3 linked regions of the Danio rerio genome follow. The protein of the gene in region 1 interacts with the protein of each later gene in a biochemical or structural test. Links are inferred from orthologs where the notes say so. Each region holds a gene or a part of one and is shown on either strand. Other genes may lie near its edges.

Region 1 (3,567 bases):
AGAAAAATCAGTCCTGTGATTCCTGTCTAATCAAATCGCACATAAAAGGTAAATTGCATCATAACAAACTACCTCAAGACATGGGCGATTTATAATTGCAGCAAACTGTTTGCAAGCATCAAAAGGGTCCAAGAAGATGTCCAAAATCTTTACACGCATTGACCCAGAGACTGTTTAGATGCATGTCACTGATGAGAAGATGACAGATGTTTACTGTATGATGATCGAAATAGCCTTAAACACCCAGCTGGCACAAGACGTCAAAATGACATTAGATTGACGTTGTACCCCAACGTCGTGGAGACGTTACATTTTGTTTGGAATTGAAAATCGGGTTGACGTCAGAACTCAAAGTCAGACCGATGCCAATGTCCAACATACAACCAAAAATCAACCAAATATCAACGCCAAATGATGTTACTGTCACGGTATGGGGGTGATGAAGAGGAGGCGAGGACCCAAATGCAGGGAATGAAGAGTTTAATGAAAAATAAAACAAAAACAAAACTCAAATCTCCCCATGTGGGGAAAAACACAACATATTACACACTCAACTAGACAAGGTCTGGAACTTGACAAGACAATACATTAAACCACTGTTGTAGACTAGAAATCAGCAGATACAACAGAGAAGGGAACAATCAATAACGGACCAGCACGGAACAGAGCACACTAGGAGAATAAATAGGAAAGACAAACCAATAAACAGACAGGCGGACAGGTGAAAATAATAATTACAAACAAGGTAACAAGGTGGGTGGGACAAGACAATAGACGGGAGAGCGCATGACACAGAGAGACAATACAAGCCATGCGCTCACACAACACAACACTGAAGCACACGACAAAAGCACGTGACCACAATGTAAACACCGAGCCACGTGCTTTGACAAAAGACGCAAGACACGAGCACACGATGAATGAAAGCACTCACCGTGCGCGCACACACACGCAGCGTGCATGCTTCATCCCAGCGCCGACCAAAACCGAAACCAACAAGACTGAGACGCTGGGAATGAAACACCACGCTGCTGACAAACGAAAACACAAACACGAGTACAAGAGCGCACGCGTCTGAGTGACGCAGAGCGCGCGCGCGGCCGCGTCAAGCAGGAACGCGCACACTCTACGTACACCCATGACGGCGCGCGCTCACACAGAGACAGAAACAGGACCCGACATGAGAAGTGTCAGAGCTCTGCCACCAAAACAAGAATTTACAAGACCAAAGTGGCAGAACCCTGACAGTTACAGTTTGACGTTGTGTGGACGTTACCACTATGACGTCTATCAGATGTTGGATTTGGTTGCCATACCTGATGAATAAATGTCAGTATTTGACGTCAATATGAAGCTAGTTTTAAGGGGTGGTCCAGAATGTAATTTTAAGGCTTAATTGTGTTTATAAGATGCAAAGCAATGTGTGCTCATGTTTCACTTGAAGGAAATCGCGTTATTTTTTCATATATCTCACTTTGATTATACACAGCTACTCAGCTAACATGAAAATGACTGTCAAATTTCCTAGTTCCTCTGAAAGGCCTGCCCTTAAGTGACTCTGATTGGTCATCGTCATAATGTGCTGCTATTCGCGGATTGGCTCCACGTCACGCCCATGAAAGCATGCGCTTTTCTGCTGTGTAAACAATCATTCAACCACCTGCCTGCTCACTAAAATAAAATCTGACAAGTGTCTGTAACGAGTGAAAATTGGGTGCAGCTCCTTAAAGAGACCTTGTCTTTGTGTGTGTCTATGTGTGTGTGTGTGTGTGTGTGAGTGAATGTTGTCTGCGTCTATGTGTGTGTGAGTGTGAGTGAATGTGTGAACTTTCTGTAACAAGCGCATGTGCACGGGAGTTTTTTTTTCTTTTTCTCTGATGCTCGGATTAAGTTATTTTCTATAATATATCGTGACAGAAGAATAAAGCACAAGATGTGTGAGCCTTGATTTATTATTCTGCTGCTACCACGAGTCAGGTAAGCTAACCTGTATTTTTTTAACTCTATGCTTTACAAGACGGCTTTCATATATATCCGGAATATGCAGGTGTAAGTAATATGAATCATCTACATATCTTTTGCGACTTCATTATCTGAGATGTGAAAAACATGGAAAAACTGCCTGAAGACAATCAATGCAAAGTCGCGCACACACATAAGAGTCACGAACGTGCTGGTGGAGTGTGTGTGTGTGTTTACAGCAGTTTGACTGATAAATATGAATTTGTAGCTAAATCGTTTGCCCGCAAAGCAGCATTTCGCATTGTTTACATCGTTGCTACAGCGTACCGTTAACGCTATACACTGTACATGTCATGATCAATTTTAACAAATAAAAACACTTACAGGTTGTAGCTCACAGCTTCTGCTTTGAGGAGATTTTCTGCTTTTGCGCCTTACCTGCGCAGTTTGTATGCACAGTAAACGAACCTTTGTGATCTCACAGGGGGTGGAAGTATTTTTTGTAGTCCCCAAAATTTGTTCATTGTAGGCTTAACTCCGTAAAAATCAAGGTCTCCCTTTGCATTAAATTGAGAACTTTTTACATTCAGAGATGTTGTTTATATTCACACAGCTACATTACACATCAACTAAAGTTTAAAATATGATATCATAGTGGACCACCCCTTTAAGTTGTTGGCTCAATGTTTTTGTTCACTTCCTAAACCCTAAAATCAATCAAATATCAACGTCATTTGACGTCATTCATCCTTGGACTTCAAAATAACGTTCCTAGATGCTGGCTAACCATTAAATTTAGGTCACAATCTAAATCTAACCTAATATTAACGTCTTATGACGTTCTGTGCCTGCTGGGCAATAACTAAATGCACTACAGAATATTACGTTTACACACATCCACAAATTAAATGGTACTCACTACTCGAGTACTTTTAAAAGGGCTACTTTTTACTCATACTTAGAGTAATATTTACAACAGATACTTTATCTCTACTTGCACTACATCTACTTGCACTACTTTAATTTATCTAAGTATGATTTTTTTTCAGTACTCTTTCCACCACTGCATTTCTTAATATTATCAAAGTTGAAAACAATGAATATTTTCTTGAAGAATTTGTGAACTTTTTTTCATGATTCATTTCAAACTAAATATAAAATTGATTGATATAGAAACATTTTTTAAAATTATACATTTCTTGGTCACTTTGTCAATTTAGTGCATAAATATAAGTAATGGTTCTTTAAAAAATAATAATAAATTGCAGACCCAGATCTTTGAAAGGCACTTGTTTTGCATTTGCAGCTACTGTAATTGCTTGTCTGAAGGAAAAATGTGTTTCTTTCAGGCTTGGTTTGATTTACTCACCTGTTTAAGGTGCACAACAATTCCACTCTTCTCGACCATGGGGTTTTTCTTATAATGCTCTACTAAATCTGCTAAGGTGTCAAACCTCTCCCCTCCTCCTACATCATATTTTCCATCCTGGTAAAAGACATAAAAAAATTTTTTTTTTTTAAATAGACATTTATTTTAATCTTCTTTTTTTTCCTTAAGGAAATAGTGAAATGTTACCCTGTTTTTACCTGATAACGGATCATGAC
Region 2 (4,306 bases), on another chromosome or scaffold:
AAGAATTAAGTTGTCCCAATAAAAACTTAAGCTCAGCTCATTTTAAATAAGTGTTTGTCCAAACAACAAACATCATTTTCGAGTGTATTTTATTTTGTGTTCAACTAAAAAGTCAACTAAAAATGTGGAAACACTTGAAGGTGAGTAAATGGTGAGCAAATTTTCATTTTTGTGTGAATCTGTTCAGGCTGGGAACTGGTTGGTCAAGTAATGTGGTCTACAAACCAAAACACCTAAGGGGCCATTCACACAGAATGTGCTTTTCCATCTCAGTGCATTACTTTTACATTGTTTTTTTATGTTAAAGGACTTTACAGACTTGCATGACCATTATGTTTCTGTAATGCAATTTTTACAAGTTGCACCATTCTTTAATGTCAGTTCCAAAGCAGCGGACCAATCAGAATAACGGAAAGGCATGGCAAGCATCTTTGGATGCAACGATGTGTTCTGTATGAATCACCCCTAAGGAAGCTTGAAAGTGTGTTTTACTGTAAGGCCATGTTTACACTTGGTAATACTATGTTTTGCTTGATTGAAGTAGATAAAGTTATGTTTAATAATGTTTTGCTTGATTGAAGCAGACCTCATCACATATATACCAGCCATTCTAATCTGTCTCTTTTGGCCACATTTCTTTGAGAGGCTTGTGTATTTATGCACTTCAGAACTTTCAAACCAATATTGTGAAATACACTTGCACAATTGATATACAGTATGAGGAAGACACATACAAGACGTTCGTTTCTGCTCCACAAAACTATGCCAAGCTCAGTGGATTTGCAAGCCAGGCTCAATGGAAATATGTGATTCTGGCTACGTAAAAACTACAAATCGTACCTTCCGGTATAAACCCATTTTGCTGCACTGAACCTAAATGAACACCTTTTTCTAACATTTAATAAAGAGTTAATTATCTTGTTATGTTTTTTGTAGATCTTTGCATAATTTTATTTGTCCATTAAAGCGTTTTGGTGCATCTGAAAATTCCAGTGCTCTTCTACCAGCAATCAGCTGTGAGCACTTCTCTAAAAACAATGAGAGATTTTATTTCCAATGAACCTGTGCATTGTGCTCACAGTTCAGTACATTGTGCTTTTTTATTTACATTTCAAACCAAACTTACTATTTTGGGTGGCAAAGTTTAAATTGCATTTCCACTACAAAGTACATTGATCAAATGTTTGATTAGTGAAAAGAGAGGAATAATCTACTTAAATGAAAAATGTATTTTAATGCAATCCCATTTTAATGGCTGAAAGTGCATAAGCTCAAATAGTTTTGAACATCATTGAATAGTTTATAATAGTAACAAAAATGCATTTTAATACCAGCTGTAAAGCAATTTTGCAAGTAAAATTGTACATTATAATTCCCAAGTACTTGAAGCCATCATTGTTTCTACATTCAAAATTAATCGTTTCCAGTGCCACCTTGACAAACTGACCACTGACTCACCACTTTTGTTATGAAGCCAACTTTCTATTGTGTTATAATGGGAAACTATTGGGATAAAATGGTCTTACTTAGCAGTGTGTATAAACTGCAATGCACTTTAAAGACTTTTCTGAATTATAAATTAAATATAACAATGAAGGATTTGCTTTTATCTGTCCATACAAATTATATTTGCTAATATCAAGTATGCAGTTATGAATATCACATATACTAAACAATAACCTGTGAGATTCTTATTAACGTTTCCATGCAGTTAAACAAATGTCCTCATTATTTATATTTTAAATTTAAATTGAATACCCAACAATTAAAAAAGTTGCATGAACCAGACAAAGTTTGTCCTACCTTCACCACATCGTCATTTAAATGCTTTGGGTCTCGGTTGACCAGGTCAATCTCCTTGGTGTGGACATCCTGAAGTGTCTTTTCGTTGATGCTGTCGTTATCCATTTCTTTATTGTTTGGTTTGTAAATGTTCCCCTGTTTCCTGATAAACGGCGAGTGAGCGTATTCCTGCGGTTCCAAAGAAAACAGAAAATGAAGTTCATGAGCGTGGAGTGGGAGACTCGGGCGCAACTCAGCACAGCCCTGGCATGGGATGGTTTTAAGCGGATAGAAATGAAGCACCACACCCCTCTGGAACACAGTGGCGCATCCCGCCACACGGAGGCGCCATTTTACATTATGCGCCTGTTGTGCTCCCTTTTTATTCCGCAGCAGAAAATATGAAAATGCGCTCACTGCTGAAAAATCTTGTTTTTAGTTCGTGCTTAAATTATATTACTGTAACAAAATTGTTTAGACGCAGTTTCCCTTTATAAATATGTGTATTGATAAAGTACTTCTATTTCACCTGGATTAATGAGCAGTTCATATTTTCATAGCCTAGTATTATTTTATTCAGCTGTGTTTGTGAAAGTGTTGCGAAAGGGAGGCTTGCAGTACAAATACGTGCCAGGAAAAGATAAGACTTCAAATCTGCCAATAATGTAGCAAGTGTCAACACTGCCTCCGTTTGTTGATAAACCATACAAAAGGTTTGCAAATAAGTAACTAAATTAAATTTTGCTCTGTATAAAATTAATTGTCATCAAAAGTAAAAGATTTCTGAGGTAAAATAGGGGTGTTCTTCTTACCTCTTCAGGTGTCCCGTCCTTGTATCCGCTAGTCATGCTGTCCCGTGCCTGAAGTGCGATCAGATGAGTGTGAGGAAACAAGACAATCAGTACAGAGGAAGCAGTGTGGGAGGCGTGGGGATATTGCTTTCTGTGGGGAGTTTTTTTTCCCTTAAAACAGCCCTCTCTTCTGCATGCTAAAGTCCCATCAAGCTTTTATCTGAAAGCTAGTTTATCTCTCTTGAAGACTCTCACGGCACAGAGTGGGAGTTTCTCCCAGTCACTGAGTTTGTGTGTTGAATGAATGAGGAACCCTCCATTAGCCTGCCAATCACACAGCTACGCAGCATTAGTGGTTGGGGATTTTGACGTGATTTTTTCCCAAATGGGAGGCACATCTGGGCATTAGACCAACTTTTCCTGCACGATTGCCATGTATGCTAACAGGAACATGCACTCTTTTTTTCATTAGCAGTTTTAAAATTGTGTTACAGTAATGCTAATCAAAATAAAGCAACCCTAAGCATTACACTTCATTTTTTTTTTTTGCTCGTTTAAACTACTTATTTAAAATGAGTGGAAACAACACAATTCTTGAGATTTCATTGGGACAACGTTTTTTTTTTTTTGTTCAATCCACATAAATCTGTTAAAAGTGTTAAGTTAATTTAATCAATTTGTGTTGGGACAACATGAACGAATTGTGTGGAACCCTGCATTTTTACAATGTTTGAAGGTTGTTTAGAGACAATATATATATATATATATATATATATATATATATATATATATATATATATATATATATATATATATATATATATATATATATATATATATATATATATATATAAAGCAAATCAAACTATTTTTAACCAAAGTAACCTAGTCAGACATAGTCACCCTACTATTGAAGTTTGATCTGTGCCAAAAGTCGACTGATGGTAGCTTCATTTGCCCTTATTGACTGTCATATTCACATAACATAGGTATAGGTTGATTGTGTTTTCTATGTTGTATTGTTCCTACAGAACAAGAAAAAGTTCAACAGAACATGACAATGTAACACAAAAATTGAAATAATAACTGAAAAACTAAAAACAAAAGGAAATACAAACATTAACATATAGTTATTTACCTCAACAAGTGGGCAGTTACTGTACATAAGGACAGATGTAGTTTACAAAGCAGTCTATTTAATTTTGTTACAAAAAATTGTGGTGCATATTAAAATTAAACCTTTAAATGTATGAAGCACTACTGACACTCAATGTCAGATTTTCCAATTCAGAATATCCATTAAAATATGTTTTACTATTGAACTTTTTGCACTTCGGATGTATAAACCTAAAAGGTAACTACACTGAGGTCTGTTTGCATATTAAAAGGTTCCTCGAGGCAAGACTTGCACTTCAGTTTGGAATGTTTTGAACAACACTGAAGCTGCAGGTTCTTGTTTTTCTCATATTTGCCTTACTTACGTATCATTTGCTTGACTTACCTATACATCTTTTTAGGAGGCATTTATTACACCTAACAAATGTTTGTATTTCTAGGTCAGATGCTGGCAAAGCGAGGGTTGTGACAGGCAATGCAAAATATGCAAACAACGTCGCCAGTGATAGTGGCCAAAGGTTGCTGTAGGTAAAAACTCCAGCAGCACTCTTATTATATGATAGATTTGATTCTATATTATATAACTTTACATTAATTGCAAGGTTCATCTATTTGTA
Region 3 (4,219 bases), on another chromosome or scaffold:
CTTAAAAATAAAGGTATGTATGAATGGTATGAATGGAAGTATCTTCAATAAATGTTCAATAAAACATTACTTTTTGCATCTGCTTATTTCAGTCTTGATTTCTGAGAATGTGAGAAAGGAGGTAGGGGGTACGCTACGGCCCCCATGGTTGCCTCAAGTTAAAATGAGATAACATGATAAAAATATAGAAGCTGTGGTTTAGCCTGATTAGCTGCTTGCCTCAGTGCAAACTGTCACTCTGTGCCAAGAAAACAGCATCTGCAAAGTCAGGTGTCCTTCCAGAGAAAAACCTAAGCACAACCGTTCCATGTTTACTTGTCTTCCGCAAAGCTCCAAACACCAACACCACATAGACATATAAGAATGAGAGAAATACAACTCTGAGAGTAACACTAGTAAAGCAGATTATCACCTTGTCACCTCATTGGTTAAACCATGCAGAGAGTTTTTTTTTTATCTTAATTACACCATTACGACAGCATTATGAGTTGCTGAACAGAGGTGATGTAAAGGAGCTGAGTGTTCACTATAAGCTAATGATGCTTGATAAATATGATAGCCTGCAAGATCAGTAACATTTAGTCCCAGATGCAAACAGATCTTTCATTTATTCATAGGGACTTGTGATACCATCGTTAGTCACTAGAGGCACCAGCCTACATGCAGAACCAATTAATACATGCAACACCAAAAGGCTTAGTTATGAATATAATTATTATGCTCAAACGGTTTATATCAGGGCATTAAATAATTATGCACATTTGTTCCATGTGAACGACTTCTCATGGCTGTTATCCGAAAGCCCGTAGCGTTATCGGTTTAAAAGAACCCGATGCAAAGTAGTCAATTGAGCGCTGAAGCCCTCTGGCGTTGCAAAGCTGATTTTCAGATTCATGCCAAAACCACACTAAATGCGTGTGCATGTGTTCTGCATTGTCCACGCTCGCTCTAAACCTGATCATTTGAATTGAATGAAGTCCTTCATACCACGGCTCTGATTGCCACGATTCTACAGGTAAGCCTCTCTAAAAGCGCGTTCGTGAAATTTAAGCAAAGCATCACAACAGATTCTTACTTGAAACGTAAATTCACCACATGAAAAACAGCAGTTGAAAACTAACTAAGACAAAAAGTATCTTTGTTTAAAAGCACGAGTTACACTGGGATAAAAGTCTGAACACATGATACGCAGTGGTCAGTTAACAGATGCAGTCCAGACTTGCCCCTCATCTTTTAGAACATCCATAAGGGCTTATCTGAGCAGTACAAAAGACCATCTGATACGTCCATGAGGTGCCAGCGAGCCAAAGCAAAAAAAAAAAAAAAAAAAAAAAAAAGTCAGGGTGAAGCATGCAAAACATCTTCAATGGCTTTTGGGATAAAACAAGGAATTCCAGATCATTTACATACAACCTTTGTCCAGACTAAAGGAACAATAATAAAATTAACCAAAAATGCAAACACATTAAGGCATTTTTGAAAACTCCAACAAACTTTAACCTTAAGGTGTAATTTTATCTTTAGATATCTTTTAAAACTCGTGTTTATTTCTGGTCATATATGCTGCCCATTCCTTAACATTATTGATATCAACGTTCTTAGAAAGTTTAACAGCCATGAAACCTTTATTTCCCACAAAATGTTTTTATAGTGGAAAAAACAAGTTATTTACATGTTTTAAACGTTCTTCGTTTTAAAACATGTCCACTCAGTGTTATGTCATTAAATTAAATTAATTTTGAACAATCAAAATTGTTCTTCAAAGGCATTGCACAACAAACTTTATGTTAATTCTTGACAAAATAAAGTGTTTTAAACACAGTACGTGTTTAGTTAATGTTACTGGACCTAAAGTGCTGAAGCTGGACACTGTTGCTATGGCTACCTCCTCAGATGACCGCGATTTCTGTTCGCAAATGTCTACTTTTGTCGACTTTTTAAAATGTAATTTGTAGCAGCATGTATAACTAAACGCCTAGTAAAAAAACATTTGTTCAAAAGCTTTCCAATGCTTTCAAGCGACAATGCGTTCATCGCTCACCGTGCCATTTTATCTAAAAAATAAACTTGTGTAATTGTTTTAGCGTCTAAACTCTTTCCTTCACGTCCCTCTCCAGCTGAAACAGGCTTCATATTCCTCCACTTGTTGCGGAGACGCGCGCGCGCTCGAGCCTGAGTGATGAATAATTGAGAGCAGCGCGCGGATCGGCTTTACTTTACATTCTCACCTGCCGCTCTCCGGATCAATATCTTGTTTCAATGAGCGGTTCCTGTAACTGCTTAAATTCCTGATATATAGAGTCTCTGCACGGTAAGTGAAGAGGATATGATTCACAGGGATGATCAGTGGAAACTCTCACAAGCTGTTTAGATTTTAGTTTTCAGAGAATGGGAGAGCTCTGGACTGACAGACCAGCATGAAAGCCCCGTCTTGACACACAATTAAATTATAATGAAAGACAGAACAGTGTGTAGATTAATATTAAACTGCTTTAATAATGAATCATGAGTAGAAGCAACAGGTCCATACATTATTCTCAGAAAGTAATCCGTTTTGCTTCGGTAGTAACTCAGCAAGGCTCTCTTCTCAGCAAGTGCACATCCCTACTCCTCACTGAACAACTTCTAGTTTATCTTTAAGCTTGGGGAACAAAGTAAGACCATAAAAAAAGCAAAAAAAAGATAACAGCCGCCCTACCTGGTTGGATGATTAACTGCAACAAAACAGTAAACAGAACGCAGTGATATTCCATTGTTATAAGTCCATCTATCTCATGTGTGTTGTATAGTCTTGGAGCTCGATAATAACGCCGAACGGTCGCCTGCGGAGCGATCACTGCCGTCTTAAAGGGCCAGCCTTGTTTTCTACCTTGTAGCCTGCGCGCGGGTCATGCGGAACGACGAGCGAGCCTGGGCGGGGACAGGGAGGTAACAACATCAACAGCAATAATGCTAGTCATACCTGAGACGCACAAAAGAGGTTACAAGTGCCACGGGGTGACACGTGGCTTGTCAGAAGAAACTGTGAATTGCCCATAACAAACTGTATAATGATAAGTAGGGCGATCTAATTGATTTATTAGACTGCAGATTCAATACAGGCTCCTCTTTGTGTGATAATGCTGATCTGTCAATGGCGAATTTGCAACACAAACTAAAACATTTAGATTTTCACAGAACTTCATGGAATGTTATTAGCACACAAAAAAAGAAAAGAACACAGGCTGTGTATTTCCAGATGCAAAAAGAGGTATAAAAGATAATTACACATCACCTTATCTCATGATAGCAATAATGTTTACAGCATGAGGTGATAGGTGAATGATTTAGCAGGGGGTTGTAGGTCTGCTGTACTTTCCTTTTCATAAACCATGCACATTGGTTTGATTTATTTCACAGTTATCACTGATTTTGACAAGCACATCGTGGGGTAATTAGCTTTGGAACCAGCAAGATTAGCCTCATCTGCATCATACTTTGATTTTGTCTGAGAACAAAGAACTATTAAACATAAATGAGTGGATAGTGGTAGTATTGTTTTAAGCATTTGTTTGTCATTAATGTCTGTGAGAGGCTTTGTATCTTTCCTAATCTGCTCCACTGATATCCAATATTTGTATTGGCTTTCAAAAATAGAATGATTGATATTTTATGCTTTTATTATAACAAACAACAGAGTTTCACTATACTTGTCATTCTAACATATAACTTAAATGTGACAGCCGAACTCCACTTCACCCTGTTATTTACCCATATTTCTCAATGAGCCAGTAGCCAGGAGTCATTTTGAATTATAAAAAAAAAATAACATGTTGCTATTTTCCCATTCTTCAACATCATCTTGTGATTTTGCATCATTCCAGACTCTGAGATAAACACATTCATTGTTTTTTTTTGTTTTTTTTTATTCAATATTGAACTGTCAAATGTGAAATAAAAGTGCTGAACAAGTTCAACAAGGCAAATATAACCTTGAGGGAAACAAAATGATTTTGAATGGTTCTCGAATATGCCCAATGATTGTGCCAATAGAACAAAATGTACAAACATTAAAATGGATTTATATCCTACACACTAGCACAAATTAGTTAAGCCAGCTGCTGTAAATCATTCCACATATATACCCATGGCCTCATTAAATCGGTATTACTGCGCCAGTGTGTCTCTGTGGTACAGTATACATCATGCTTTTCAGCAAAATGTGTTGCAAATAGTTAAA

The links. The genes of interacting proteins can lie anywhere in the genome.
Region 2: the proteins of ptpn11b (region 1) and cav1 form a complex in vitro, tested with the Homo sapiens proteins (2 studies listed by BioGRID). The link is inferred for Danio rerio from reciprocal best matches to the Homo sapiens genes PTPN11 and CAV1.
Region 3: the proteins of ptpn11b (region 1) and kita form a complex in vitro, tested with the Homo sapiens proteins (3 studies listed by BioGRID and IntAct, with this or other methods). The link is inferred for Danio rerio from reciprocal best matches to the Homo sapiens genes PTPN11 and KIT.

Annotation. Positions count from the first base shown.
Region 1 is NC_133198.1:26,914,084-26,917,650, reverse strand, and holds part of ptpn11b (tyrosine-protein phosphatase non-receptor type 11b), read right to left. Parts: coding exon 3,550-3,567; intron 3,449-3,549; coding exon 3,332-3,448; intron 1-3,331. UniProt on the Homo sapiens protein: Acts downstream of various receptor and cytoplasmic protein tyrosine kinases to participate in the signal transduction from the cell surface to the nucleus. Positively regulates MAPK signal transduction pathway. Dephosphorylates GAB1, ARHGAP35 and EGFR.
Region 2 is NC_133200.1:19,558,760-19,563,065, reverse strand, and holds the start of cav1 (caveolin-1), read right to left. Parts: upstream 2,839-4,306; 5' UTR 2,631-2,838; coding exon 2,595-2,630; intron 2,049-2,594; exon of another isoform or gene 1,972-2,048; coding exon 1,804-1,971; intron 1-1,803. UniProt on the Homo sapiens protein: May act as a scaffolding protein within caveolar membranes. Forms a stable heterooligomeric complex with CAV2 that targets to lipid rafts and drives caveolae formation. Mediates the recruitment of CAVIN proteins (CAVIN1/2/3/4) to the caveolae.
Region 3 is NC_133195.1:24,925,125-24,929,343, forward strand, and holds the start of kita (mast/stem cell growth factor receptor kita), read right to left. Parts: upstream 2,839-4,219; 5' UTR 2,754-2,838; coding exon 2,699-2,753; intron 1-2,698. UniProt on the Homo sapiens protein: Tyrosine-protein kinase that acts as a cell-surface receptor for the cytokine KITLG/SCF and plays an essential role in the regulation of cell survival and proliferation, hematopoiesis, stem cell maintenance, gametogenesis, mast cell development, migration and function, and in melanogenesis.